Linked DNA regions of Caenorhabditis elegans. The protein of the gene in region 3 interacts with the protein of the main gene of each other region in a pairwise test. Each region holds a gene or a part of one and is shown on either strand. Other genes may lie near its edges.

The links.
Region 1: the proteins of ric-8 (region 3) and phdh-1 interact in a two-hybrid assay, tested with the Caenorhabditis elegans proteins (one large-scale study listed by BioGRID).
Region 2: the proteins of ric-8 (region 3) and rps-18 interact in a two-hybrid assay, tested with the Caenorhabditis elegans proteins (one large-scale study listed by BioGRID).
Region 4: the proteins of ric-8 (region 3) and tsp-8 interact in a two-hybrid assay, tested with the Caenorhabditis elegans proteins (one large-scale study listed by BioGRID).

What each region holds. Positions count from the first base shown.
Region 1 is NC_003280.10:13,635,265-13,641,576, forward strand, and holds phdh-1 (D-3-phosphoglycerate dehydrogenase), read right to left. Parts: upstream 3,217-6,312; 5' UTR 3,216-3,216; coding exon 2,918-3,215; intron 2,566-2,917; coding exon 2,203-2,565; intron 2,138-2,202; coding exon 1,830-2,137; 3' UTR 1,655-1,829; coding exon of another isoform or gene 1,629-1,654; 3' UTR 1,605-1,628; downstream 1-1,604. Other genes in the region: tag-10 (Protein TolB), read left to right, coding at 1-498, 955-1,008, 1,487-1,560; fbxa-167 (F-box domain-containing protein), read left to right, coding at 6,298-6,312.
Region 2 is NC_003282.8:14,823,946-14,829,487, forward strand, and holds rps-18 (Small ribosomal subunit protein uS13), read left to right. Parts: upstream 1-1,733; 5' UTR 1,734-1,753; coding exon 1,754-1,855; intron 1,856-1,901; coding exon 1,902-2,090; intron 2,091-2,245; coding exon 2,246-2,419; 3' UTR 2,420-2,474; downstream 2,475-5,542. Other genes in the region: sec-61.A (Translocon Sec61/SecY plug domain-containing protein), read right to left, coding at 1-77, 127-471, 899-905; hhat-2 (Homolog of Hedgehog AcylTransferase), read right to left, coding at 2,523-3,214, 3,264-3,781, 3,836-3,928, 4,293-4,394, 4,970-5,139.
Region 3 is NC_003282.8:2,639,899-2,650,215, reverse strand, and holds ric-8 (Chaperone ric-8), read right to left. Parts: upstream 7,238-10,317; 5' UTR 7,230-7,237; coding exon 7,092-7,229; intron 7,043-7,091; coding exon 6,941-7,042; intron 6,856-6,940; coding exon 6,771-6,855; coding exon of another isoform or gene 6,713-6,770; coding exon 6,643-6,712; intron 6,454-6,642; coding exon 6,276-6,453; coding exon of another isoform or gene 6,249-6,275; intron 5,803-6,248; coding exon 5,632-5,802; intron 4,856-5,631; coding exon 4,445-4,855; intron 3,103-4,444; coding exon 2,955-3,102; intron 1,671-2,954; coding exon 1,526-1,670; intron 1,475-1,525; coding exon 1,347-1,474; intron 836-1,346; coding exon 711-835; 3' UTR 105-710; downstream 1-104. Other genes in the region: nduv-3 (NADH dehydrogenase [ubiquinone] flavoprotein 3, mitochondrial), read right to left, coding at 8,197-8,348, 8,805-8,904; mdf-2 (Mitotic spindle assembly checkpoint protein MAD2A), read left to right, coding at 9,206-9,275, 9,326-9,472, 9,537-9,654. UniProt on the Caenorhabditis elegans protein: Chaperone that specifically binds and folds some, but not all, nascent G alpha proteins prior to G protein heterotrimer formation, promoting their stability and activity.
Region 4 is NC_003284.9:14,724,890-14,732,670, forward strand, and holds tsp-8 (Tetraspanin), read right to left. Parts: upstream 4,615-7,781; 5' UTR 4,546-4,614; coding exon 4,486-4,545; intron 3,604-4,485; coding exon 3,513-3,603; intron 3,449-3,512; coding exon 3,336-3,448; intron 3,192-3,335; coding exon 3,018-3,191; intron 2,474-3,017; coding exon 2,323-2,473; intron 2,166-2,322; coding exon 2,050-2,165; intron 1,937-2,049; coding exon 1,793-1,936; 3' UTR 1,737-1,792; downstream 1-1,736. Other genes in the region: F33C8.2 (DUF38 domain-containing protein), read left to right, coding at 556-765; F33C8.4 (DUF7758 domain-containing protein), read left to right, coding at 7,402-7,565, 7,613-7,681.

The DNA.
Region 1 (6,312 bases), on a different chromosome or scaffold from region 3:
TCTTCACTCCTGATGGAAAACGGTTGATCTTCCGTGCCAGCCGTCCAAAGAATGAAACTGAAATCGCAAAGTATAAGAAGCTTCTGTCGTACAATCTAGTGGAGCCAATTGCCATGGAGCTCTTCATAGTTGACATCGATGGACAGAACTTACGGAAGATCACGAATCTCGGAGAAGCCAACTGGGCTCCGTATATGTTGAATGACAATAAGCGGATCATTTTCAGCAGTAACTATGATACCGCTGCAAATGGATTTGGAGCCTTCAGTTTATACATGGTGAACGACGACGGGACAGGCCTTCAGCAAATCACATTCGGACAGAATCAATTCAACTCGTTCGCCATGCAGAGTTACGACGGGAAGAAGCTGGTTTGGGGGTCGAGTAGAAATGGTACGATGTATGAGTTGAACTTGTTCATCGCCGATTGGATCGACTATCCGAGTAATACAACGGTTGCTCCGGCTGCTCCAACAGTGACAACAACTACGCCAGGAAGTAAGTGAACCATATTTTTGAGATGCATGCGTATATTTTACTGGTCTTGCAACGAATGTTGCATCACTTGTAGTTTCTAGTTTGTAGTTTGTAGTTTATAGTTTATAGTATGCATAATGTAGTTCGTAGCTTTAAATTGTATATTTGCAAACTGTAGTGTGTACATAGTATATCATAGTATATCAATTATACGCAATCGACTTTTATAGATACTACTATGCATGTATTCAGTTTATAAAATTGGTATTGTAGTTTGTAGTTTCTATATTGTAGTTTGTAGTATTTTTAGTGTAGTTTGTAACATAGCTGTATATCTTCTATCACATAAATATGTGCTACTTGAATTGCAGTTTCAGCTTAATTTTTGAATAATGAATTGACTCGTCCATTGAAATACATTAGAAATTTTATAGCTTGTAGTTGATATATTGTAGTTTGTGGTTTATACTGTTATAGCACCATCAACGGCTGCTCCGGCTGCTCCAACAGTGACAACAACTACGCCAGGAAGTAAGTGAACCATATTTTTGAGATGCATGCGTATATTTTACTGGGCTTGCAACGAATGTTGCATCACTTTTAGTTCTAGTTTGTAGTTTGTAGTTTATAGTATGCATTATGTAGTTTCTAGCTTTAAAAATTTGCAAACTATAGTATATACATTGTACGTAGTATATAAATTGCAGTTTTACGCATTTGACTTTTTTTTTTAATACTACCATGCATTGGTAGTTGGTATTGTAGTTTGTAGCCTCGAGATTGTAGTTTATAGTATTTGTAGTGTAGTTTGTAGTATGTGTAGTTTGTAGCATAACTGTATATCCTATCAAAAAAGCATGTGCTAGTTGAATTGTAGTAATTGTTGTATTCTAGCGTAATGTTTGAATAATGCTTTGCAATGCATTTACATTAGTACTTACGTTGCAATTATAGTTTGTAGTTATAGTTTGTAGTTTGTAGTCTGCATAATATAACTTGTATGTTCTAGCAACAACGTCACCATCCGCACACCTATCACTCCTGTCAATGTTCTCACTTCTTCTAATTGCATGCCTCTACTAATCTGATTCCGTACTTTTTTGGTAATTTTCCAGTAACACCTGAAATTTACTAGACTCTTTTTATTTCAGAATGGTGGTGGTCTCGAGGAGGATAATTTTTTTTTTGTTGGTTTTTTATCGATTTTCTTATGTATTTTTATGAATAAAACTGAAAAAAAATGGTTGTATGCGAAAACGACTTAAACTCACAAAAAATGTATTGTAAAAATGTAAAATGATCTCGTATAAACAGAAAATATGGGCGAAAATTCAAATAAACACACAAATAAATTAGTTGAGCACCTCTCGTGCGTTCAAAACTCCGAGCATAGTTCCCTTATTGTACTGCACAATGTTATCGGCGATTTCCGATGCGACACGGAGCTGCGCGTCAATCGTTGATGCTCCGAGATGTGGTGTCGCAATGACGAGTGGATGATCGATGAGCTCTCTGAACGTTGGTGGTTCTTGCTCAAACACGTCGAATGCTGCTCCCTTGGCGTGTCCAGCGTTCAGGGATTCCACCAGGTCGACCTCGTTCACAATTCCTCCACGCGCCACGTTGATGATACGGACTCCTTTTTTGCATTTCGCGAGGGCTGGAAAATGATTAGATAAATAAATTTTGGATTAAATAAAATACTTTTAAAAATGCTTAACTTACTCTCTTTATTGATCAAATTCTCAGTCTGCTTGATCAGCGGTACGTGGACCGTAATATAATCGGCCTGTGGCCAAATCTGCTCCAACGAGAGCAGCTCAATGTTCTTCGCCTCAGCCTGCTCCTTCGTGACCATTGGATCAAATCCAATAACCTTCATTCCAAAGGCCTGAAGCCTGACGGCCACCTCAGATCCAATTCGTCCGAGGCCGAGAACGGCTAGGGTGCGTCCGTAGACCTCCTCTCCCATGAAATCCTTGCGGGCCCATTTGCCGGCCTTCATCGATGCGGCGGCTTGTGGAACGTGGCGGGAGAGGGAGAGAATGAGTGTGCACGTGAGCTCGGCGGCAGAACGGGAGTTGGCTTCTGGAAAAATAAAATTTGAAATATAAACCGGTAAAGTTCTGTTGAAAAATTCTGTTAAAGCCATCCATTTTTTAGAATAGGCCCGTCCTTCGCCTAGGTCGGCCTGTTTTTGAAGTCATGCGTTTACACGTAGTGTCAGGCTGTCCCATTACGGTTTGATCTACAAAAAATGCGGGAATTTTTTGCCCAAAGCGAAATCAGTTGAGAACTCTGCGTCACTTCTTCCTCATTTTTTGTAGATCTACGTAGATCAAACCGAAATGAGACACGTGCGTTTGGGGAATTCCCCAGCCATGTGACTTTAGAACTTTCAAACCTAAACCCCATTCGTCAAATAACCCTCCCAACTCACGTGGTGTATTCATCACGAGAATCTTGTTCGCCGATGCGGCTGGCACATCGATATTGTCAACTCCAGTCCCGGCTCTTCCAACAAGCTTCAGCTTCCCAGCTGATGCAGCCAACAGCTCGGCGGTGATCTTCGTGGCGCTGCGAACAATGACGGCGTCGTGCTGTGGCAAGGTGACGAGAAGCTCGTCCTTCGTCTGCTTCGTCTTCACGGTCACCTCGATTCCGTTCTGCTTCAGAATGTCGACACACTCCTGCTCGATGTCGTCGGCGATGAGGACTTTGTTGATTGGGGCGCTCATTCTGGAAATTGGGAGTATAGTTTTGGAATAGTAATTTGAAAAGAGAATATACAGTTTTAAACTAAAAAAAAATAAAAGAAAAATCTTTAAAAAACGCAAAATAATTGTTCTTATATACCCTCTAATGTCACGCAAAGTGACGTAATCTCAGACGCTACCCCGCCCCTTTCCAGGTCAATTATAGATTGTAAAAGTCACGTAGACAATGACTATATTCATCGATCTTGCCGAGATAAGGTGAAAACAAAGATTTACAGCGTCGATATAAATATATCGATTATGGTATTAGGAAGAGTCACCACAAAAAGACTGCATGAACAACACGATATTTATGGGCTGATGCTGCTGATGGTGGAGGCTAGATAGCAAGTTTTGACTGGCCGGGGGTGGAGGAGGAAAAAACGAAGAACAGGAAACGTCGTTGAGGTCAAAATGGCGGTTATCAGTTATGGTCAGTCGACGTCAGAGAACACACACACAATGGGGTAGATGGGAGTAAAGTATCTAGATGGGGAAAGTTTGAAAAACGGGAAAAAATGTTGTATTTTTGGCATTTTGTCGACTTGGCAGGAATTTAAGTTCATGTAAAACTGGCAAATTGTCAATATTGAAATTTTTGCCGAATTTGCAAACTACAAAAAAAATATAGAAAATTCATGCCAAATTGGGAAAAATGAAAATTATTGCCAAAAAAAGGAAATTCTTGCCAATTTACCAAAATGAAAATTCTTGCCAAACTGACAAATTGCCAAAAAAGGAAATTTTTTCCAAATTGGCAAATTGGCAAAAAATGTTAAATTCTCGCCAAATTGGCAAATTGCCAAAAAAAAGGAAATTCTTGCCAATTTGCCAAAAAAGGAAATTCTCGCCAAATTGGCAAATTGCAAAAAAATTTTAAATTCTCGCCAAATTGGCAAATTGCCAAAAAAAAGGAAATTCTTGCCAATTTGCCAAAAAAGGAAATTCTCGCCAAATTGGCAAATTGCAAAAAAAATTTAAATTCTCGCCAAATTGGCAAATTGCCAAAAAATTTGCCAATTTGGCAAGAGTTTTATATTTTGATCATATTACCAAATTGGCAAAAAATGTAGTTTTTGGCAAATTGGCAATAATTTCCTTTTTGGCATAGTGCCAATTTGGCAATTAGGTAAGCTTTTTTTTGCAATCTGCAAATTTGTCAAGAATTTTAATTTTCGCCATTTTGCCGGATTGGCGGAAATGTAATTTTTGGCAAGAATTTCTTTTTTCTGGCAAATTGGCAATTATTCATTATTTGAAATTGCCAATTTGGCTAGGATTTTCATTTTTTGGCAATCTGCCAATTTGGTGGAATCTAGAATTTTTGCCATATTACCAAATTGACGGACTTTCCATTTTTGGCATTGTGCCAAGTTGATAAGAATTTCCTTTTTTTTGCACTTTGCCAATTAGGCAAGAATTTGAATTTTTGGCAATTCGCCAATTTGGCGAGAATTTTAATTTTTGGCCATCTGCCAATTTGGCATGAGGTATAAATTTTGACAAGTTGCCAATTTGGGATAAGTTTTATTTTGGGAGTTGGGCAATTAGAGGAGAATTTCAATTTTTGGCAATTTTCTAATTTGGCAAAAAATTTTCAACAGCGTTTTATGGGCAAAAACAATTAAAACTGAATTTTTAGAAAGTTAAAATAATTCCAACAACAATAATTCTTGTTAATTAAATTTTTCGGTTGTGACAACGTCATCACAAAACATTCTAAACCAATTTAAAGATATTGAGTCCTAAGAAGCTAAAACTTCAAAAATAAATTATATTTTCAGCATAGTTACACCGAAAACACACCGAAAAGAAGAGAGAAAATGCGTTTATGGTCAGCGAGCGGCAAGAGACAAAAAACGAACGTAGAAGGAGAAGATGGGCAACACACAAAAATGTGACACATTTAGAGAGAGAGAGAGAGATAGAGAGAAAAACAAAAGACGCGAGCGGAATACACAAAAATGGGTGCAAAACGGGTGTATGAATAAATAATGGGCAAATATTGGAACAAAACGGAGGGTTTTGTCGGGAATAAAAGGAATATTTCAATAGCTCATAGTTAAAAATTTCAAGATTTTCACAAAAATGAATGTCAAACTTTAAAATTAGTATGGGACTTATTACTGTTGTGATTTTTGATGAGATGAGTTCAATTCTACCAAAAGGACACAATTTTCATTTTTGGTTTTCAGTACAGATAAATTATTATTTTTGAAACATTTCACTAAATCCGGGCCTTCATATTTCACTCAAAATTAACATTTTTCAGAATGTTTTTACAGAAACTTGTTTCAAATTTTGAGCTCTTTTTTAATTATATAACGAAATTCAGCTTTTTTTTGTTGCTATAATGCTATTTTTCTAGGTAGGGCACTTTTTTGCTCAATATGATTATAACCAATGTGCAAGAATTTCCAAAAATATTTAAAATGGTAGCATTTTGAAAAAAAATACTTTTTTGGGGCTTTTGAAATGTATATCGTAGAAACAGAGACGGTCATACATTTGTCTAAAAGATGAAAAAATCTGCTATTTTTTTAGGTAAGACACTTTTTTGCTACATGATAATAACCAATGTGCAAGAATTTCCAAAAATATTAAAAATGGTAGCATTTTGAAAAAAATACTTTTTTGGGTTTTTTGAAATGAATATCGTAGCTACAGAGACGGCCATACATTTTTCTAAAAGAACAAAAAATCTGCTATTTTTTTTAGGTAGGACACTTTTTTGCTAGATGAACATAACTACTATAAAATTTTTTTAATGGTGGTAGCATTTTGTTGCTCTTATGGTGCAAAACGACCAAACATTTAATTTTTTTAAAGTTTGTCCCCAATTTAATGAAAAGAATACGGTATTCTACCGGTCGATGCGACTCTTATCATTCTACTTCCAATTTCTCACTTGTTCTGTGCTGCTGTCTCTCCCCTCTCATATTTTTCATCTCTCTTGTCTATTTCTCTTTTCCATCTCCACTGCTTCCCCTCTTTCCATTTTCCCGCATTTTCATTGATTTTCCGTCCAATTCTAGAGTTTTTAAAGTTAAAAAGGTCCAGTAAAATGCCTGCCATCCTG
Region 2 (5,542 bases), about 12 Mb from region 3:
GATTTCCGATGGCTCTCCGTAGAGTCCGGACATGACGTAGACAATAGCTTGTCCAACAGTGATGACCATACCGAACACTGAAAAGTTCAAAAATTAGAGATTGAAAACACACACTTTTCGGCTTACATTTCTGGGCTCCGTTGAAAAGAGCACGGTCCTTTGGTGTGTCTCCGACTTCGATGATCTTGGCTCCGGCGAGAAGTTGCATGATAAGTCCAGAAGTGACGATTGGCGAGATTCCGAGCTCCATAAGAGTACCACGGTTGGAAGCCATAATAACACGAAGCCAGTAGAATGGATCGGCCGAGTCGGTGGACATGATTCCGAAGAGTGGGATTTGGCAACATACGAGGAACACGAAGAGGGTGATGGCCGTCCAGAGCATCTTCTCACGGAACTGGATCTTACGCTCCGGCTTCGACACCTCCGGCACGAAGCCGCAGAATGGCTTCACGAATTCAAGGAATTTAACTGAAAAAAACAATATTAATTAGGATGGCGAACTACAAAAATCGATAATCCTCTCGGGTGCACCACACCTTTGTTTGCCGCCCGCCGGACTGCAAAATTATCGACTCGCACCTGTTTCTCTCCGATTTAGACAAAATTCAAGAAATTCTACATTTAAAAATGAAACAAAATCCGTAGTAAGGCAATGTGAGAAGAATTTTAAAGTTACATTGCAGAAAATGCGGTGTTCTCCTTAAAATTTATGAAAAATAGAGGAAATTCTTCCACGTAGCAAATCGCACACTAGAAAATTCGCAAGAAAAGGGCATTCAGTTTGATTGGAGGAATTTTTAAATTGAGAATTTTCAAATAAAGCAGCTACGCGTTACGATAAATTCTGAATGTCTAGATTACTTTTTAGTTGAAACAAATAAAAAAGAATACTTACTTCCCATGATGGTACGTTGATCTTCTCAGCACACTGGAAGAAGTGAACACAGAGAGACACAAGGAGTGTTGCCTTTCGGATAATATAAATGGAGAGAAGATAGACGGGGGAGAGACAGAATCTGCTGTCGTGGGCACCGCACACGCCGACAGTGCCGATAGTGGACACACGCAAAACGAGTGTTACCGTACCTTCGAACTGGCAGAGCGGGACAGTGTTTTTGCAGTTTTTATTGCTATTTTCAGCGATTTTTGTAAAGTTTTACCACTTTTTCGATGTGAAAAAAATCCCTCTACTCAATTTCAGCAAAAATATTAATTTAATTCACCGAAATCTGTCAGAAATCACGAAAAACTTTAATTCGGACTGCAAGGTCTCGAGACGATTCAAAGGCGCGTGCAGTTTCGCGGCTGGGTTTCGCACCGCTCGTCCTCTCTCCTTTCGTCTCTCTTCGGAATTTATTTCTTTTCCCTAAATTTTTTTGGCTTTTTCCGTTGAAACTTTACCAATTTTCGCGATTTTTCTTCAAAATTTGTTTTTGAAAAATTCAGGATAATTTGTTTTATCGATTTTTAAACATTCAAAGCTTTGTTACTCGACAAATTCGCTGAAAACATGCCGAAACTCGAATTTTAATATTTGAAAATTATCGAATTTACTAGTTTTGTGAATATTGTATCATTTTTTAGGCATTTACAGGTCAATTTTAACTTATTATTCAGCTGAAAGTGCTTAATAATAATGTTTTTTGGTAATTTTTCGTCGCAAATTTTTTATTTTTTTTGAATATCCGCGCTTTTCACTCGTGCATCTCACTAAATTTTTTATTTTTCAGGGTCATAAAATCACGACAAGATGTCGTTGATCATTCCGGAGAAATTCCAGCACATTCATCGTGTGATGAACACCAACATCGATGGTAACCGCAAGGTTCCATACGCCTTGACCGCCATCAAGGTTTGTTTTTTAAATGTTTGATATTTTTAATTTTTATCGTTTTCAGGGAGTTGGTCGTCGTTTCGCCTTCGTCTGCTGCCGCAAAGCTGACGTTGATGTCAACAAGCGCGCCGGAGAGCTCACTGAGGAGGACTTCGACAAGATTGTCACCATCATGCAAAACCCATCTCAATACAAAATCCCAAATTGGTTCCTTAACAGACAAAAGGACATCAAGGACGGAAAGACTGGACAGGTTAGTTGTTTCGTCTAAAAAAAATCACTTAAAATTATACAACTGGAGTGAAAATTAGGCCTGTTTTTTTTTTAAATCTGTATACAGGCCACCCAGTTTAATTATTTTGAGAGTAGCAAATTTTGACTATAATTCTTATAGACATATGTTTTCAGCTCCTCTCCACCGCCGTCGACAACAAGCTCCGTGAGGATCTTGAGCGCATGAAGAAGATCCGTCTCCACAGAGGACTCAGACATTACTGGGGACTTCGCGTCAGAGGACAGCACACCAAGACCACCGGACGCAAGGGACGCACCGTCGGAGTGTCCAAGAAGAAGGGAGGATAAGTCTGATTGTTTACGGGATGTTATGTTATTTTTTGTTGCTAGTATCCCGAAAATAAATGTTACTTTCAAAAATAATTTCTTTATTTGTCAAACAATACAAGTTTTAAACCATTTTCTTGTGTTTTTGGTAGAATTCAAGATCGAGGCAAACATTATTAAAGAAATAACCCAGAGTCAAAATATGCAGAAATGCAAACCCGGCAGTTAATGGGAAAATACTTATATTAATTGAAAATACATCTAATACTCCTTGCACGACCACGTTTTGAGATATCGTCTCGCCAACACCTTCCTGTCCAAGAAAGAAGAAAACTCCGAAAATTCCTGGTGTTACAGTGAGAAGCATGAGTGTTGCCATAATTCTTCTGCAGCAGTGTTCCCCGAGACGTTTCCTGATTCGCTGAACCTTGGGAATTTTCCAAATTTGCCATCCTATCCGCTCTACTATCAATTCGGTTGCTGATAATGTTACCCAAAAGATGAAGTGCCTTCGAGTTCCATGCCAAGCTAGAACAACACCAAAAACTGCACACAGAGCCCCAAGACTTCTCAAAATGGACCAAAATAGAGGCAACGGTTTTCGCATAGCTGGGATATAGACCTGATACTTTAAGAATTGATAGAGTCCATTATCGAAAAATCTCCACATTCTGGAATAAAGCGACACTCTGGAAATGCAGATAGGTGGTGGCGGAGGTCGAAAACCATCCAGAGCCGCGAAAAATGCAGGAACTCCGAAAATGACCACGTATTTCACATGGAATAGTTGGCCAGCCACGTAGGCAATTGCAGAAACTGAAACTTAAAAAAAATTGAGGAAAAAAAAAGGTTTTTCTGAACAAACCTTCATAAGAATTTAGACTATTAACTAGGGAATCTGGTGAATTGAAAAGTGCCTGAACATGTATAAAATGCAAAATCAATTCGATAAATCCAAACCAAAAAACCAGTCGAAAACCAAACCAAAGTGCACATTTCACAGAATTCCAGCAAATTTCAGTTGTCTTTTGCCACGTCTCGAATTGCTGAATAAAATCCTCAAATCGTACAATAAGTGTCATGGAGTAGGGGAGATAGGAGAAATAGATCAGGCTATCTGCCATAATCTTTGAAAAATCTGATTTTCCAGGTTTCAGATCGCATAGAAAAAGGGCCAAATTGAGTATTTTAATAGATCCGTACAGATAAATGTTGAATTCTCGATAGAAAATGTGAGTTCCAGACGAGAATGGGACGATTTGTGTGGCTCGGACGATGAAGACGATGCACAGGAGCCACGGAGTCCATTTGGAGCCGCCTGTGAGCCACGTGGCAACGATGACGAGCACCGAGAATGAGTAGAGGACGAAAATGCATTGGAAACTGGAAATTTTTGGGGAATTTGAATGAATTTTCAGAGATTTTTAGAATATAAACCTGCTCATGTGAATTTGGAGCAAGAAACCGATGGCGATAAAGGCATAATTTGAGATCGTGGAACATGGAAGAAATCGTTTTGAGATGAATATTCTGGAATTTGAAGCTTTTTAAAGGCGCACGGCATTATTCAGATGGGTCTCGGCGCGCAAGTAGGTTTATAGTAGATTTTTCCACTAAAATGGCTTTAAATCAGTTTTCTATCATTTTTGCCGGCCGATAAGCGGGAAAGTCGACATTTTTGAAGAAAAATGAAAAAAAACTACAAAAATCGATAAAAACTACCATAAACTTTTTTGTGCGCGCCGAGACCCACCTGAGTAAATCTGTATCGTTACTGTAGCTCGTGTCGAGCCGCTTTTGCATAGAAATAGAGAAAACAGTCGTGGCGAGACCCAAGATATGGCAAAATGTCTCATTTTTCCACGTTTCTATAATATTCTTCGTTCAAACAAACCCTAAGCTATGGGCCGAATAATCGAGAAGAAGATGCCACACGGTTTGCCGATAATAAGCCCATTCCGCATCGGATAAATCCATTTTTGCACCGGAGACATAGCTGAAATTGCAAATTTAAATTGTTTTTAAAACGGTGGCCGAGTTTTCGCTAGGCCACAGTGCCAAAATGGTCTCGACACGATCGAAACTTTCCAGCTACCGTACCTGTGGGTACTGTAGTTTTTTCATTAATTTTCCCAGTTTTCGAAGCACAAACTAGATAAAAATTGGAATTGTAGAAAAAAACAACAAAAAAGAGTCCGATTTTCGATTTTTTTTTTCTCGAAATTTCGTAAAAAATCGAAATTTTCGAACATTTTTTCGGTCATTTCTCAATTTTTCCCGAAACTTTACATTTTATCTCGATATTTTTTGAATTAAAAATTGTTAATTAGCGATTTTTCCTGAAAAAACAGATAAATTGAAATTTTCGACGACGAAACCCAGGGGTACTGTAGCTGCAAAAACTTTCTCTCGTGCCAGGACCCTTTTTTGCCAAAAACTGCAGGTTTTTATATGAATTTTCATAGATTTCGTTATGTTTTCACCGAGTCAATATTCCATAAACTTTTCCAAATTATATATCTTTTTCCAAGAAACTGTAATTTTTTTTCAAAACTTTTTTCAAAAACCCACCAACTATCCTGCATCCAATGTTTAATCCATCCCTTTGCTTTTCCATTCGAGACCCAATATGCTATTACAAATGCAAAAAGCGAGTGAAATATCCAGACAGACCACGCTAAAGCCCTTTCAGCTTTGGGTAGTGGACCAGGAATTGAAGGAGACGGGGAAGAGACGGTCATTTCGTATTGTAAAGTGGTGATAGGGGCATTCTGAATAGGGAATATTTATATATTTGTATGGTTATGGGTGTTTGGAAGAAAATATGAAAGGAATAGGCTTATTTGTTAAGGCCAGAAGCGTAGACGGAGGCTTAGTACTGCTGTGGAGAAATTTTGAAAAAAAAACTCAAAGAAAAAATTTACCGTTTCAAAAAATTCATATTTTTTCTTCATAAAAATTAAAATTAATTCTGATCTTTTTTTTTTTAGGATGCTTTAAAAATATTTGAATTTTGATACAGAAAAATTCCGAAAAAATACTGTTTCAACTTGTTTCTTTAACTACATTCAATTTTATTCATTAGTTTCGCACTTGTTCTCTGTCAAATTAAATTTTTGAATTATCTCATGTATACAAGAGCTC
Region 3 (10,317 bases):
TTTCGGGAATTATTGATTTTTCGCAAATTTTGGAAATTTTCGATTTTTTGGGAATCGAACTTTTTCGCCATTTTCGCAGATATTTTTGTGAATTAATATTTCAAACTTTATAAATATCAAAATTTATTAAAATTCACAAGAAAAATAGATTGAGAACTTCTGTAAGTTGACTAAAAAAAGGGGTAAAGCTTTGGAAATTGGCATATTTTGCGTTGAGAGATCTGAAATAAAGGGGAATATACACATTGAAAATTGTGATTTTTAGACCATTTTTGGGGGTTTTGAGGGGGGAAAATACAATAAAAATGGGGATTTTGTCAGGAAAAACTTTTGAATAATTCAAAATTTGAGGGATTTTTGGGTAAAAAATGTTTTCAACGAAAAATGTGGAAAATTTGGAAATTGTTTTTGTGTATTTTTGAATGTAATTTCTCAAATTCAGATGGTAAAATTGATACAAAAATTCCACTTTTTTTTGTGTGGAAAATTCATAAGATTTTAGTGAATTTTTAGACAAAAAGGGGGAAATTTCAGGATTTTAGGCACTTTTTGAGAAATTTTTTGAAAATTTCTGTGAGGGAAAATTTGAACAATATTTTGTAGTGTGTTATAAGATAAAAATAGAAAAAAAAATTCGCTATTTTCAAATTTTTAAAGGTTTTTTAAAAAGAATTTTTTTCAAAATGTTAAAATGGAAAAATCAAAAATAATTATTCTTCATCAGAATCCGAATTCTCAGCCGGCGCTGGTTCTGGAGCATTCTTCAGGAGCTCCAACACATGGCTGACTTCGCGAATTTTTCCGTCATCTCCAATGGTTCCGGGCTTCACAATTCCTGCAAAAAAAAAAATGAATGGGGAAATTAGAGAATTTCGGGGAGAATTTTTGATAAATTACGATAAATTTCCAAATTTTTGGATATTTTTTCAAACTTTTTAAGCTAAAAAATCATAAAATTTTCGGTATTTTTCGGAATTTTTAAGGTAAAATTTTTTTTTCTCAATTTTTACTTGAAAAATGCTCCAAATTATGAATTTTTCCGCCAATTTTTGAGATTTTCTCAGAAAATAAGAATATTCATTTTTCGAGGTTATTTTCGAATTTTACCAATTTTCGAGTTTTTTTTCATATGTTTATTCGATATTTTTCCAATTTTACACCAAAAAATTAGAATTTTCTGCAAAATATCGTCACGATTTTGATGAATTTCATCAAATTTCGTGCAATTTTTTATATTTTTTTGGGGGGATTTCACCAATTGTTTTCCAGATTTTTCTGCTGCAAAAAACCTGAATTTTATGTCAAATTTCATCAAATTTTCGCGCAATTTTCTCCGAATTTCTCACCAGTTTCCATCATTTGATTCATAGCATCAACCAGCTTCATCGCTTCATACTCTTTTTGCTCTTCAGACATTCCGGCAAGTGCACTTCCGTGATCCGATGGATAAATTGCTCCGGTCACTGGATTTACACTGAAAATCTCTTTTTTTCCATGGATTTTATGCACAAAAAGTATAGCATACCTATCCTTAATCTGATTATAATCCTCAGTTTCACTATCCTCACTGTCCGACGCGTGTTTTGGTTGATTGATTTGTCCGAGAAGACCCAAATTTGCGAGGTGACCGGCCGAGTGGCCGAATCCAAGGTATTTGATCATTCGATTCACTGGAAAAAGGGAATTTTTTAAAGATAAACCCTCACAAATTTTCCAAAACTGACGTTTTTGAAGGCGGAGTACCGAAATCTGGGAAATATTTTGAATTGGCTCAAAATTTTCCCTTGATTGTTGTGGAATGGGGAGCCATTCCACAATGTCTCGTCCTACGATCTCTTCAGAGATCTCTCAGACGAGGTTTCTATGACAAAGAGCCGCAGAAGTCATTCTTTCTTCTGCGTCTCTCGCTCTCATACGCTCTCTCACAAGAGTCACACTCGCGCCCCACAGCGACATTAGCTGCGCGACGACTCAAGCGACGACAGGATACGCAGCCATTGGACGCCACCACTTCAGTCTTGATGCTGCGCTCGTGCCGAACGGTCGTGCGTGGCACTTCTCTCCCGACGCATCCCCCATTTTCCTTTGTAATTGCCCCTCACTATTATTCATGTACTTGCTCCGATATCCAAGGAGAACCCGACAATCTCTGATAACCAAAGAGAACCCGACAAACTCCAATAACCAAGGAGTTTCCAGGCCTTCCCCCTACTTTATCCTCTCTCCCTCTTGTATTGTAATTCTTATAATTACTATATAAATTAATATATTTATACATTTGTTCTGTCACTAGCTCTATATTCAAGTCTCCTCGGGAGCAAGACCACCGCATTCATCCGCACTGCCACAGCGCTCCTTCCAGACTATACATACTCTTTCTTCGGTCTCGAGTCACTCTTCGTTACGGCTTAAAGGCTCGGTCGCCGCCTCCGGGTGCCACAACATTGATTCCGAATATCTTTGTGAAAAAATTCAAAAAAAAAATTTCCCTGATTTTATATTTCAAGCTTGATTGAAATCACGAATTTTGTGGCGCCAGAGACGCCTTGTGTCGATTTACGAGATTTGTGTATATTTACGAAATATTTGCTTAGGTTGCACTCCTTGACGGAAAATCCATCCAAATTGAAGCTTTTTCCGACTGAAAACCGAACATTTTGCAAATTTTTTTATACCTTAATAGACCTTAAAAATAGCCGAAAATCAGGGAAACTCGTAGAAAAAAGGGGGAAGTCAGCATCTGATAAAGATTAAACATTTCGTAAATATACACAATTCTCGTAAATCGACACACAAGGCGTCTTTGGCGCCACAAAATTCGCAGGGATTTTTTTTCTGAATTTTTCACATAGATATTATTGGAATCAGGGGAATATTTGAAGTCATTCGAAATTTTTTCCAGATTTCTGTACTCTAACTTAAAAAAAAAACTTTGAATTAAGTTAATTTCGTACCTGATCTCTTGCAAATAATGAAAAGGAACTCGGCGGCGACATCTTTCGTTGACGACGGAAGCATCATAATTCTAGCGATTCGGCCACGTAGTGTATTGTTCTCCTCCGGCCGTTTTTGCACTTCTTCTGATACCAGTGGGGGAATTACCTGCAAAAATTCGAAAATTTTGAATTTTTTTTTGAAGCTTTCAAAAACGACATTTTCATATAATTTTTTAATAATTTTACTAGTGTATTTTGTGAAAAAAAAATTTTTTAATCAGAACATGAATAAATTTTTCTATATACCTTTTTAATTGACTCCAAATTTGCTCTCTGATTCCGAATATCTAAGTGAAAAAATTCAAAAAAATTTCCTTGATTTTATATTAGAGCCTAAAATCGCGCAGTTCATTTGTGCACCCATGAACTTTTTTCAAATTCGCGCCGAAATAAATTATCCTTGGAGCGCGTTTGTCTCAATTAATTTCAAAACGCGCTCCGGGGATAATTTTTTTCGGCGCGAATTTGAAAAAAGTTCATGGGTGCACAAATGAAATGCGCGATTTGAAGCCCAAATAGAAAATCAGGGAATTTTTTTTGAATTTTTTCACATCGAAATTCGGAATCAGGGAAAAATTTGGAGTCAATTAAAAATATTTCCCGGATTTCGGTACCCCATCTTTAATAATTTTACTGATGTATTTTGTGAAAAATGTTTTTTTAAATCAGATCATTTTTTTTTCATAGAGGCGGAAGATTTTTTTTTAAATTTTTTATAAAATGTCTTGAATTTTTTTCAAATTTTCAAAATTTCCCTATCAACACTGCAACTTTTTCCTCACGAGGGACGAGGAAAAGTGGTTTCTAGGCCATGGCCGAGGGGCCGACAAGTTTCAGCGGCCATTTATCTTGCTTTGTTTTCCGCCTGTTTTCTTTTGTTTTTCACAGCTTTTTCCCGTTTTTTCTTATTAAAACTGAAAATAAATATTTTTTGCAGATGCTAAAACAATTTCCAAGTGAAAAAATTTATGTATTCAGTGGGCAAGCAGCGGTGAAAGTGGGCATTGTAATATGATGGATTACGGGAATACAAAACCTAAACTTTTTCTGAAACATAATACATATGCTGCTTAAATGCTGAGACTACCTGATTTTCATAACGAGACCGCTGAAAAAGTTTTGAGGTTTCCAAAATTCAACTTTTTTGGTGAAAAAGTCGAGATTTTCGCACATCCGCTACTTGCCCACTGAATACATAATTTTTTTACTTGGAAATTGTTTTAGCATCTGCAAAAAATATTTATTTATCAGTTTTCTTAAGAAAAAAACGAAAAAAATCAGTGAAAAACGAAAGAAAACAGGCGGAAAACAAAGCAAGATAAATGGCCGCTGAAACTTGTCGGCCCCTCGGCCATGGCCTAGAAACCACTTTTCCTCGTCCCTCGTGAGGAAAAAGTTGCAGTGAAATTTTCAAAATTTCCCTATCAAGTGTTTTTTTTTTCACGAACCCGAATTCTACAATATCTGCGAACATATTTACTATCCGTACAAAGCCTAGCGAGAACTTGAAAATATGGTCCAACAAGATCTGTAAGTGTTGAAGCTTCTGCCGACAACATTGGATTCTGCTGCTGATTTGGAGCATCATTGAGCAGTAGAGCAACGACTTTTGTTAGTTGCTTATCCAAATGCATGAGAATTGCCTCGGTGAGCTGCATATTGCTAAGTTCCTCAACAAAGAATTTCTCCTCCTCGTTTTCTCCTCCGTTATTTTTTGAATTTTTTCCACAAAGTACTGAGAGGACCATTGGTAGTGGTGGAACTGATAAGCAATGAATTGCAGATTGAACGACGTCATCGGTGAGCACATCGGAGCAAATTGCGTCACGAAGGATTTGGCACGTTTTTGCCGCGTTTTTCTGAAAAAAAAAACTTTTTTTCGTCGTAATTTGTAGCAAAACTTTGACATTTTTTATGGAATTTTTGATACTTTTGGGGTTAAAAATTTGAAAAATAAATGAATTTTTTCAGAAATGTGCTTTAAAAAAATTTTAAAAAATTCTGACATTCCTAGATAATTTTACAAAATTTACCGCAATTTAGAAGAATTTTCACGAGAATTTAAAGCTGAAAAAAAACGAAAATTCAGAAAAAATGCGAAAAAAGCGAAAAAAAAAGAAATTTTTTTTTCGCAAATTTTTAATTTATTTTTTATTTTTTGGGCCAATTTCAGGAAGTTTCTCAGAATTTTTCTGCTCAATTCAAAAAAAATATGATATATAATTATATATTAAATTAATTTGTTTTTTTGGAAAATAAAAATAGAGTGATATTTCATGATTTAAAAAAAATGAAAATAAAACGAAAATCGATGATTTTTATCTTTTTTTTAATCTAAAAAAACCTCAAAAATCTCAAAAAATTGCATTTTTTATGACGATTTCTATAGAAAATCGTCATTTTTGGATTTTTGATATTTTTCAATGAAAATTCCTGAAAAACCGGAAAATTTCACCGATTAATCGTACGAAAATTGGAAGTTTTTATATGAATTTTTTTTTTTAATTTGGAATTTCAAGTTAAAAACTCGAATTTTTGTAGTTTAAAAAAAAAAAGTTTTAAAAAATTCAAAAAATCGCATTTTTAAGGTATAAATTTTGGTATTTCAGTTTTTTTTTTTTTTTTGAATTTTTACATGATCAATAGCCTTCACATCTCCGTGAAAATGGCAAAAAACGTTGAAAAACGTCTTCAACGCCTCGGTAGCTCGATTTATATCCTGAGTGCTGTTTTCTGATCGATTTGTGCAAATTTCGACGGCCAAAAGCAGAGAATCAATGGTTTTTGGGTCGTTGGCCCAGTTTTTCTGCAAAAAAAAAATTAGTTTTTCACAAAAAAACTAAAAATTTTCATGAATATTCGCAGATTTTCTCATAAAAATTGAAATAAAAAAATTTATTTTTTGTAAAAATTGATTAAAAACCTATAATTTTTATGTTTTCCAAAATTTTTTGTAAAAAAAAATCTGAAATAATAAAAAAAATTTCGAACCGCGACGCGACCGCAACGCGCGGTCCACAGTTTTTAAAAACTAAATTTGCCGATAAAAATCACACAAAAATCGGTTTTTTCAGGCAGAAAATTCAAATTTTTTCTGAGAAATCTGAATTTATTGAACCGCGACGCAACCGCAACGCGTGGCATCGCTCAAAACTCGAAAAATATGTGTATTTCCAGTAAAAAACGCTCGATTTTTCTGCCGATTTTACACGAGTTTTCTCCAAAATTCGGGTCATTTTTGTGTCAAAAAATTCAAATTTTTCGTGTCGTTTCGAGCACCTGAAATTCCCTGCCCAATGCAGTTGCAATAAAAGCGATCCGATGATAGAAATACCAAATTTCGGCGGCTTGAACCGGATTCAGAAGGCGAATCCAATCGATTGACGACGTTTTTCGGCGGTTTTCCTCGAATTCTCCGAGGAAAAATTGCAAATTTTCACCAGTTTTCGGGTTTGCACTGCAAAAATCGTGTTTTTTTTCTAATTTTTAGCTAATTTTCTTAGAAATTCAATTAAAAATCAGATTTTATAGATTTTTTTCTAATTTTTTTTTCGGAAAATAACCTTTTTTTCCACTTTTAAAGGATTTTTTACACTTTCCTATGCAAAAAATCACTTTAAAATCGATTTTTCAATTGAAAACTCACTAAAATCGATCTCTCATTCGTTGTGAGTGAAACAAAGTGTTGATTAGACATTTTTGCGCCTCCATTAGTGCTGAAATTATGATTTTTGGCGGGAAATTCGAGAATTTTTAGGCTCAAAATTGCCTTACTGTGGACAGTTTTCGAGTTATTTTCGTTTGACGAGAGTTCCGCGAAGGCGAGGATTTTATCGCAGAGCGGGTCGTTCAGGAGGCCCTGGAAATTGGGAAAATTGGGGTTTTTTAGTTTTTTAGCTGAAAAATCCGAATTTTCAGTTCAAAATTGCGTAGTATTTCCCTACCTCCAATCCATCTTTTTCCCTACTCAAAATCTTTATCGTCTCCAGCAGCACGTGGGTCAGCTCTCCGTTTTCTATAACCTCACAAATCCGGTCTCCGAGCTCCTGAAAACTGGAAATTTATTGCAAAAACTAATTAATTAAAATCTCTCACATTCTTTGCCGAGTTCGCCATATCGAATTTTGAGACAGCGGCGTTCGCGAAATTCCATTTCGAGAAGAATTCCTCGATTTTGGCAGGCTTCCCGCCGAAAATCGACGCAATCAGGTCGGAATGTAGTTCTTCAGACATGGAATTGCCTGAAAATCATGAAAAATTAATTATTTACGAGAAAAAATGCAATTTCAGGATCGAACAATTCAAAAAATCGCGAATTTTTGTGATGCTAAACAGCACGCGCATGCGGGATTTCGGAGCATCGTTAAAAATTGTTTTAAAAAAAGCGAAAAATTACTTTTTTTCCGAGGTTTTTAATGATTTTTTTTACGGTTTTTGTTGAAAAATAACAGAATTTTAACTGGTTTTCGGAAAAATTTCAGATTTTACTCTCTCCAATCGTATTTATGGCAGAATCAAAGAAACGAGGAGAAAAATAGTGAAAATTCGATTTTTTTTTTTTCACTAGCTTATTCTGAAAAAAAAACCCTTATTATTTGCATCGAAACACCATTTTTGGTCATTTTGAAGTGATTTTTCATTGAAGTAATTGCGAAAAATAATGAAAATCAACAATTTCGATCAAAATTTTGCAATTTTTTCGATTTTTCCCTCGAATCTCTCGAAAATAATGCGATTTTGATTGAAAAAATTAAAAATTCAATGAATATGACATCTGCTTCTCTGAACAAAAGCTAGCGACGCCCATCACCATGGAAACTCGCTGCTAGGTAATCCCTTGTGGCGGCAATCACCGTGGGAACGAGCAGGCATTAAAGAAAAATTGTGCTTCGGCTTATTATTGTGTTAAAATTTATTTTTTTAGGCGGAAAAACAGCAAAAATTCACAAAAAAAATTCGAAAAACCGCCATTTTTTGAGCAATGATAAACAACATGCACGTGCGGAACATCGGAGCATCGTTGTGTTTTTTTCGTTTTTCAACGACTTGTTACTAGATAATTAAGCATGGAAACAGCCATGAAATCAATAAAATTAAAAAATCTATGTAAAAACTCATATTTATACGAAAAATCTACACAAAAAAAATGATAAAATCCACCGAAAACTCTATTTTTCACACAGAAAATGTCGAAAAAAGATTAAGCTCGAACTTTCGGAAGAACGTCGGCCTTCTTGTAGGACGGCTGAACGACACGATCCTTGTTCATGGTGATTTCGGCGTGAGCGTACGAGTATTTGTCGAATTTCAGGTATTCGTCGCATTTGTACAGTGACCAATCGGGTTTTCCGCCTGAAAATTGAGAGATTTTGCGTGGAAATTGGATGGAAATTGGGAAAAACTTGTCTGAAATTCGATTTTTTTTCTAGAAAAATGCACATTTTTCCAGAAAATTAGACTTTTCATAGTTTTTTTTTCTGACAAAAATCGATATTCTGCTCATTTTTAATGTTTAATCAGAATATTTTCGGCTAAAATCGATTTTAACAAGAAAAATGGCGAAAAATCGACATTTTTTGCAGAAACTAGCTTTTTTCAATGAAATTGTAACTAAAAATTTAGCTATTCACAAGTTCTAATGCAAAAAATCAAATATTTCAGTGATTTTACGGGAAACATCGAATTTTCGTGCCATTTCCGCAAAAATTCAACTTTTTCAGCTATTTTTAAGGAATTTTTTGGCTTAAACTTTTTCAATACAATATTATGACGGATTATTATCTAGTTTAGAGTTTCAGAAAGCCATACCAGCGACCTGTCTGGCCTTCTCTGCGTGCTCGATTCCGGTGCTCGTTTTTGGAGCCGCCGACGCCATCCGACGAGCCGAAATAACCATCAAGCGGTTCATTTCTGAAAAAAAAAACTTATTTATCAATTATTTTACCAAAAAATCAATGAAAAAACTGAAAGAAACAATGAAAATCGATGATTTTCGAGATTTTTAATTAATTTCTTTTCCGAGTCGCGAGAAAAATCGATATGTGCCTTGGACGCTTGCTGGCGCGTTTCGTGATGTTTATTGGCGCGTTTCTCGTGCAATTGTTTCGGCGGGAGAATTCGAATCTTAAACTGTTTGCGGCGCGTTTTCGGTCATTTTTCTTCGATTTTTAATCAGTTTTTATCGTTATTTTGCAGGGAATTCATCAGAAATGACGGATGTAAAGACACAAAACGCGATTTCCCTCAAAGGATCTGCCCAACTCGTCAAAGAGTTCTTCCGTACGGTTTTCCCCTGCAAAAATTCGCGATTTTATCGTTTTTTATTTCAGATTTCGGCCTTAACAGCATTCTCTATCAACGTGCGCTTTATCCATCAGACAGTTTCAAGCGTGAGAAGAAGTACGGGCTCACACTGTGGGTGGCTCATGAGAAGAAGCTCCAAGCGTTCATGGATCCACTTTTGCAGCAAGTTGAATGTAATTTTTTTGCGGCGGCGGGGGAAATTCGAATTTCAGCGTTAAAATCATCTGAAGTTTGCAGATTGGCTCGCGAAAAGACAGCTGAAACGGTTGGTGATGGTGATTTCCGAGGTGAAGACGAAGGAAGTCGTGGAAAGATGGCAATTCGATATTCATACAGAGAATTTGGCCGAGGAAGGGTACGAAATCGTTTGAAAACTGGCTCAAAGCTGCAAAATCCGGCGTCAAGCTCAATTTTTTCCGCTAAAACTGGGGAATTTGGCTGAAAAAATCTTCAGAATGGTCATTTTTCCTGTTGAAATTGTTGAAATTGGCCAAGTTTTGCGATTAAAATCTCCTAATTATTGGCGCGTTTTTGAAGTTTTTTAACTGAATTGTCTCAATTTTTAGGTTACTCTCAGCTTTTCCGGAGCAATAAATTGATTTTTTCTTGAGAATTTCTTTAAAAATTGGAAATTTACCGATAGAAGTTACAAATTTTCGCACGTTTTGATTAATTTTCAGCATTTTTTTCGGATTTTTTTGTTTCAAAATTCTCACTGAAACCCACTAATTGCATCACAAACCCCCTCAAAAAGGTGTGATATGTATACATTTCTCATTGTCTCATAATCCCTTTCAACAACAAAAACCTCTTGACTCTCAAGTGCTCCGGCAACCGCCCTATGATGACGCAATAGACATTATACCAAGAGGAGAGTCTTCAGAAGCATAACAGGTGTGCTCAGCCGGAAGCAGAGAGGTCAAGGAGATGCTTAATTTGCAAAAAACTGAAAAAAAAAGCGAAAAAAAAATCGATAAATCGATAAATCCCTGGCCCCCACCGGCATGTCTATGCACTC
Region 4 (7,781 bases), on a different chromosome or scaffold from region 3:
GTGACGTCACAGACTACAAACTACAATTGTAACATCCCTCATGTATTTTTTTATATATAAGTAATGATAATGAGGGGTGAATATCATAAGTGAGGATTAAGTCAAAATGCACTGACCAACACGACCCATTATAATTTTAAAAAAAACACTCCAAAAATGTTTAGAGTAGGGCTCCCAGCTGAGCGAGGCGCGAAATGGGGGCCTCACGCCGACGCCGTGCGCCGCTGTGTGTGTGCAATAAAGCGCGACAGGTATTTGTTAGGAGCGGCCGACACGTTCGGGGTGCCGCAGCTTGGCGTGAAACGAGAAGCTTGATGTGTGCGCAACGTAGTGCAAAAAAGAGTTATTTGGAAGCGGCCGGGGTTCCGCGTCGCACTATACATTTGGATACAGGCGACGTGAGTGACGCCGTGAGGCCGGCGCGGCGATCTTATGGCAACCTTGTTTGAAGCAGTAAAACTGAAAAAAAATTGAGAAGTTGCACCCTTTTGTCTTCAAATAAAAATCTCATCAAATGCTTCAATCTGTTTCTCATTAAATTACCTAACTATTCAGAAGTTGCTCTACATGGAGACTACTATAACCTCCATCAGTCAAGACTGGAAATCCAAAATCAAGTTTGAAGGGGACACAGCTCTACACATTTTGGAATCGAACAAGTTTTGCCAACGACTTAATTCAAATACATACAGATGCATGGCAAATGACCGATGTGTTTTTGTTACATTCTGCCACCAGGGCGTCAAAATTGCATCACGGCGCTAATAATTCTCATACAGCGCTTTATGGGACTCAGTTTCTATCAACATTTTTCCAGACTTTAATTCACCTTCTCTAACTTTTAAATTATGCGATTATTTCGTATTTTTGAAGCATTTTTTGGTTGTTTTGCTCTTTTGAATTATTTGAAATTTAGTCTTGCTCATTTTCAACTGCAAAACCAATAGTCTCTATGCTCTTCAAAAGTTTTGCACTGTGTTGCAATAATATATTGGAAAGCCATTGTTTCTTTATTTATAGAAGGAGGATTTTTGCAAAACTCAGAAACCAGAATGTAGTTTAATCTTAATCGCAAAAAAATTTAGTTAAATGTTTTTATTTTGAATTCAAAAATAATGAATAACACAGATTCGCTGAAAACTCTTTTGATTTTTTTAAACTATAAAATTTTTCATAACTTTTTTATTTTTGAATGGCTTTACACTAATTGAGAATTTATCATTTTTCGTTTCTGGTTATTTTCCAACCATCTAGTCAAAAAGTATTGGAAAACGCAGAATTTTCCACAAAAAAAACTATTGTGATGTTTGGAAGCAGGGTGCCAGAAAACCTATTATCCTAAGCTTTTCTGAGTTTATCATAAAATTTAAAACACCCGACTAATAACTCAAAAAAAAAGCTGCGCGTGTGTGCTATAAGACCCCTGAAAAACCGTAAAAAATGCAAAAAAAAACAAAAAACTCACTAATATATTTTGACAACAAACATTTTAATTTCAAACGAAAAAATCCTCTCCCCGATCTCAATCTTATCGACCTGAATAATTCGTACTCCTTCAATTGATTTTTTGATCAAGCTACTCCATTCACTACACTCCTTTCCTGAGAAGTCAATTATTGCAAATTCGACTTTAATTGTTTCACAAATATTTATCCAACCACTCTTCATCAACTCTACCCAATCTGAAAGAATTGTTGTTTGTCATTCGATTATTTATCTTTACAAATTCCAATAAATCAGAGAGAAAAACATTTATTATTCATTAAAAAACATCTATAAACAAAAAAGGCGTTTATTTTTTAGAATTGCCTTTGCAACAACATAAGGTCATAGATAACACAATTCCAAGGAGTTGAACAATGCAAAGAACCACACAAACTCCTACTATCAAGCTCAATGAGCTGCTCACGCTTTCGTACACGGCATCGGCGCATCCCTGTAAAAGTTTTGAACTTGATTGTATTTATTTGAAAGTTAGATTAACAAAACTAATTAATAAATCACTGAATATTTACATTGTTTTTATCAATATATTTTTGAAAATCTCACCCGTGTATTGATAAATTGAGCATAAGTGTTGAGCGGAGCTTGGCTGAATGATCTTCCACAGTTATTTGGGTAGGAAAGCTTTCCATGCTCATTACAGCAAGATGATGGGACTCGACCTGAAATATTGTGATTTTTTCGTAAAGTTAGCTAGCTACAAAATTTATATACTTTTTCGAATGTCTATGAAATCATTGTATGTAGGAAAACTTTTAAGATTATCTTACTCAGCTTTTTGCGTTTATTACCACGTCACATTCCCCTCTTTCAACTCACCATATCCAGTGCCTTTGTTCCCGCCGAACGCGCCAATTCCGTGCTCAATTCTGCCAGCATCTTCTTCGTTCACTTCTAATTGAGTGGATGGCTCGGCGTCCCATCTTGCGCTAAGCCAGTCCGTGTATGTTTTCACACCACAGCATTCGAACTGAAATGAGAGAAGGATTTTGGAATTGCAAAAATGAAGTTTATGGTTTTAAAAAAAGCATTGTAAATTTACTGGTCTGCTAAATACGAAAACAAAAGAAAAAATCTACAACTAAAAAGTTAAGCCTATCGCTTCAATTATTGAGTTTGGAAAAAAAAAATTTTGTTTTGAATTTTCCTATTTAGACATAAAATATGGAGAGCTTCTTTGGTGCATCGTGAATCTCAAAAGACTTGAAATTTTCTGCATAAGCTTGAACTAGGCTAAGTTGTGGTAATAACCATTCGCAGTCTGTTGGAATTTTAAAAAAATTGAAACAGAACAAATGGCAAACAACGCAAGTTTAAAATTCTATGCAAATGTTTGCTTAACTTTTTTCATGTAGACTTTTTTAAAAATTGGTTTACAATTTGAATTAATTCGAATAAATGATGCAGCGAAGGAATTCTAGTAAACTATTTGTCCACGCCAATTTAAGTTTAAAATTTTTCCTGCTGAGACTTATTTGGTCTAAAAAGCCGTTTCAGTCCACTATGAACCTTACTTTCTCTTGAACCGTGTCAAATGCATCTTTGAAAGCCGTCTCCGACGAGTAGCGATTTCTGATAGTGTCGTACATACTGCTCTCCACATAGTGTTTGATGTGTTCTTGTTTGTGGAAAAGTGTGACAGCAGCTGCGAGTTCGAGGAAAAACGCGAGGATCAATATGCAGCAGAACTGAAGAAAACAACACGTTTTTATGCATCTCATGTTGAGGAGATAAATGAGGTATTCACTGACAAATGAAATATAAGATGATGCCATCCCCCCTCCCCCCCCCCCTCCTCCCCATCACGGGGTGCAAAAATAGGAACAACTCACGAATGCGAGTGCACATTGATTCATTTTCCATGCACCGATGCATCCAAAGTATCCAACCAGAATGATAATTGCTCCGGCTCCAACAAGAAACCAGCCTACATACCGGAAGGCACCTGGAAAGATAATTTACGTTAGAGGGGGGGGGGGGGGAGGGTGAAGAAGATAAATGGAAAAAACCTGGATGTGTGGAGTGAAGAGCAAAGAAGTCAGATGCAGCTGGGTCGAATAAGAGCCATATTCCAAGACCGAATACGACAACTCCTGATAACTGAAAAAAAAAAACCATTAACTCGAAATTGTGCCAGTGCGAAACAAAATGATTAAAATGATGGCTTAAAAAATGGAAAATTAAAAAAATTTTTCAATTTTTGAATCAAAAAAATCTCCTAGTTTGATGTGGAAATGCAGCTATAAACATTTTTATGTCACTAATTTGTCATGTATTCTAGGTTCGTAAAAATAACATTAGGCTTTAGAAGGTTTGCAAGGATTCGAAAAAAAATTTACAAAAATAAAACAATATAAAACACTACTAAAGTCAAAAAAATATGTTTTAATTAAAGGATTACAGGACGATCCGTTTTACGAGTGATATTCACTGCTGATCTGGAATTCAGGTACGCTGCCTGATGGTGATCCCACTGGGCTATAATTTAAGCCACGTCCTAGCCGGGGACTGTGGCCGATAGCCCAGTCATGGATTGCTTCACTTCTCACTGGAAATTGGGTGAACCTAGAAGGTGAGGCCGAGCTTGAACTCGTGACCTCCAGATTGCTAGCGGCCACCACTACCGACTGAGCTATCCTGCCCCTGCCCCGCCCCTTAAATACAATTAAAGCAATATTTTCACGAACTTAAGAGTAGGTTTTTCTTGAAACCTTTTTTTCAAAATTTGGTGCTTAGATATGTAGTCTGTTGCCAAACCCGAAAAATTGATTACAGCACATTTTTATGTATAGCACTTTAGGCTTAAAACACTATAACTAATAACTAGCAAAAATATTTTGAATTCTACATGAAACGTTTTAACTGTTTGAAATGTACAGCTCTGGTTACTAAATGAGCAATAACATTTTTAGTTGGTTTTGAAAAAAAAACTTAGTTTTTAAGATCAACCTAAAAGATTTCGAAAAAAAAACCAAAACTCACCCAGAACGCAAAGTTAAATAAAAAAGTTACAATACGTAGCGCATTCACGCAGGACCCCATTTTTTTCTGCTCCGAATGTTGATTGGGAAACAGAAGGAAAGCATGTGTGGGCGTGCCATTTGTCTGACAGGAGAGAAGAAATACTGACGATTGTGTTGCTGCTGCTGCTGCGGCTCCTTGGCTCAAGCTCTGATCATTTTGAAGATACTCTCTACTTCTCTTTCTTCTTCTACCCTTTCTCCTTGTTTCTTCAATCTTTCAATCCTTCAATTCCTGAACGACTGAATTCACCCTGGTTGAGTGAAGTAAGGGGTTTTTATACAAAGTTTTACGGATGTCAACATGGAAAGGAGGACTAGAAGGAGAAGACATTGAGAGATAACAATTGAAGGGTTCACAAAACTATTCATGAATTCTAAACATTTCGGTGGTTTGACAAACGGAAATTTTTAACTCTTCTCATGCTGTTTTTGCTATACATCTTTAAAGTGTTTTTCTCACAACTCGGGGGAACACTATGGGAAATGGCAGTGGGCGAGAAATAAGTGTTTTCGGCTTTCAAAAGACGAATGTGCTAGTCACGTCCTACCAAATTTGTTTACAAACTATTTTTGAAAAAGAAAATCAAATTGTTGCTTCAGAAAAAACATCTGTTTCAGATTTGGTAGTGGAAAAAAAAGATATACATTTTCATACATGGTTCTTATTTATCCAAAGTGGGTAACTGCACTTTTTGACCTTTGTACCTTTTGACCGAAAAATACCCTAATACCCAGAAAGTACAATAAAATATGGTATTTAAATGAAAAATAACATTCAGTTTGCAAATTTTGTTTCCTTTATCTTGAATACTTTCAACCACGGTAAACCGATTTTCAAATTTTTTTTTTTGGAAAATTGTGTGTTCAAAATTGGTCTTTTGATATCATTTCAGGGTTTAGAGGGAACAATACAATTCATTTTTGAACTTGAGAAAAACTGTGAGCAGACGGGCAAAATAACTTAAAACAATTAATTTAGATTTAAATCTTCATAAGTATTTTAAAAATCGGAAGAAAACTTTTTTCACAACTACGAGACAATAAACATTGAGGAACGTACTTTTTTTCTGAATTGAATAAATCATAAAAAGTATGCTCATAAATGTTTTTGTTTTTTTTTAAATAAAATGAACAACGACAAACTACATTGATATACAATTTGATATAGTCACACAGTTTGAAAGTAATGGCAAATTTGAAAGTAATGGGCATACAAAGAACAAAAGACAAAGAAAATTAGAACAAACTTCATTTCTATTCAGGTCTAAATTGTTTTCAATGCATTTTTGCGCCAAGATCAAGCTTCGTAATACTGATTCAATTGTGATTTTTTGCAGAATGTTGTTGGCTTTTAACCTGTTTAGTAAGATACAAAGATCCTATAATCTTTTCAAAATTTTTTGTGAACAAAATATTAACCGAACTCGATCGAAAAACTTTGAGCTTAAAAAACACATTTTCTAACTGGCAGAATGGAGGATTTTTAGTCATTAAAATCTGCAAATAAAAACAAAAATTTTACCAGTTTCGAAAGGCTTAAAACAAAAAAGAAAAATTTCAGATCGGAGTTCAAGAGAGACCAGGGCTTGAATGTGATTCAACTGTTTCATACTCAGCAACTGTAATAAAACATGTTTGGAACACTTATGCAACACTTGAATTCTTAAAAACATATTAAGATACAGTTGATTTAAATACTATGATTTTACTATCAAAGTACTATGAAAGAACTATGAATTTACTATGAAACTCAGATACACTGCCTGCTGGTGATCCCACTGAGTTATAATTTTAGCCACGTCCTAGCCGGGGACTGTGGCCGATAGTCCAGTCATGGATTGCTCCACCTCCCAATAGAGGCTGGGTGAACCTAGGGGGTGAGACCGGGCTTGAACTCGTGACCTCCAGATTACTAGCGGCCACCACTACCGACTGAGTCCTGTTTAAATTTTCAGCCACTTGCTCTAACTACCTCGATTGTCAAAATGATGGCTACATCAACCCAAATGACTGTAACAACTGCAAATGTCCACCTGGTTTTGGTGGGCAACTTTGTGATGTTTGTGATGTTAGGAATCATTATTCAATCAAACTTGCAAAAATGAGAATAGCTTCCTTAATGTATACGTAGTGCCCCTGAGAACTTCTTTACGTAAAGTATAGTTGAACGGCTCCAACAATAGTAGATCCTGTCTGATTGGTAAAGCGGATTTGCGCTAGCTCTGTACATAATTTAACGTATAGTACATCCGTCTTCGCTAGATGATCGAAGTTATATATTGTTTTACTCAAGTCAATCAGTGTTAATCCCGTCCGCTGATTTGTTAGTAGTCTTCTCAGTTTTGTTTACTGACAGAAAAGAAAGTAATCACAATCCTTGAGCTATGACTCTCTAGATCAGGTTTCCGATTTGGTTACTTCAACTGACCAATGCAATTTTTATTAAATTTCGAACCATTTTTTCTGCGTTTATGACATGTGTGCATCTTCATTTCACAAATTTACAAATTCTCAATCAACAAAAACCCCTGTCGGGTGGGGTGTCAATGCCAATTTATTAAGATTTATCCGTGATATCTTGCTCCCCGGGCAGAAGATTTCTGTTTTCTTACACAACTTTCCGCCCACAAGCATGGAAGACGATTATTACACTGGTGTCATTCCCGAGGCAACCCCTCAATAGAACAGATGTGTTTTGTGAGTATCCCATCTCACTCATCTGAAACTTTTTACTCTTTTCGAATGACGTTTGCATGATTCTTGTCAGATTTTCAAATCTTGGACGAGCAGTTTCAGATATTTGTGTTTTTTTTTTTCGTTTTTTACACGATAATCAGCAGATTTAATACTATTAATATCTAAATTTCAGAAGAAAATGGAACGAACAGAAGCCTTCAACAAAGCTAGAGCACAAGCAGAAGCAGGAACACTTGACGATGCTTTTCAAACAATAGAACAATACACCGCAGAAGATGGTATCGAATATTCACTTTCTGAAATGCAAACCGTTAATATTATTGTTTGTGAAAAATTAACTAGGTACGAAAAGAAATCTTAACTTAAATTTATAAGGTTTTACATTTCAGTTGCTCATTTGAAGAAAAGAAAGATGCCTGCCTAGCGTGCTTGCCGTTGCTAGAAGGCTGTAAATTAGTGTAAGTTAAAATTAAAGTTTTGACGAGAGGCAGAATTATGTCTGTTTTTAGACAAATTTTTTTATTATGTATGTCATATTTTATATGTCATATTTGTCAT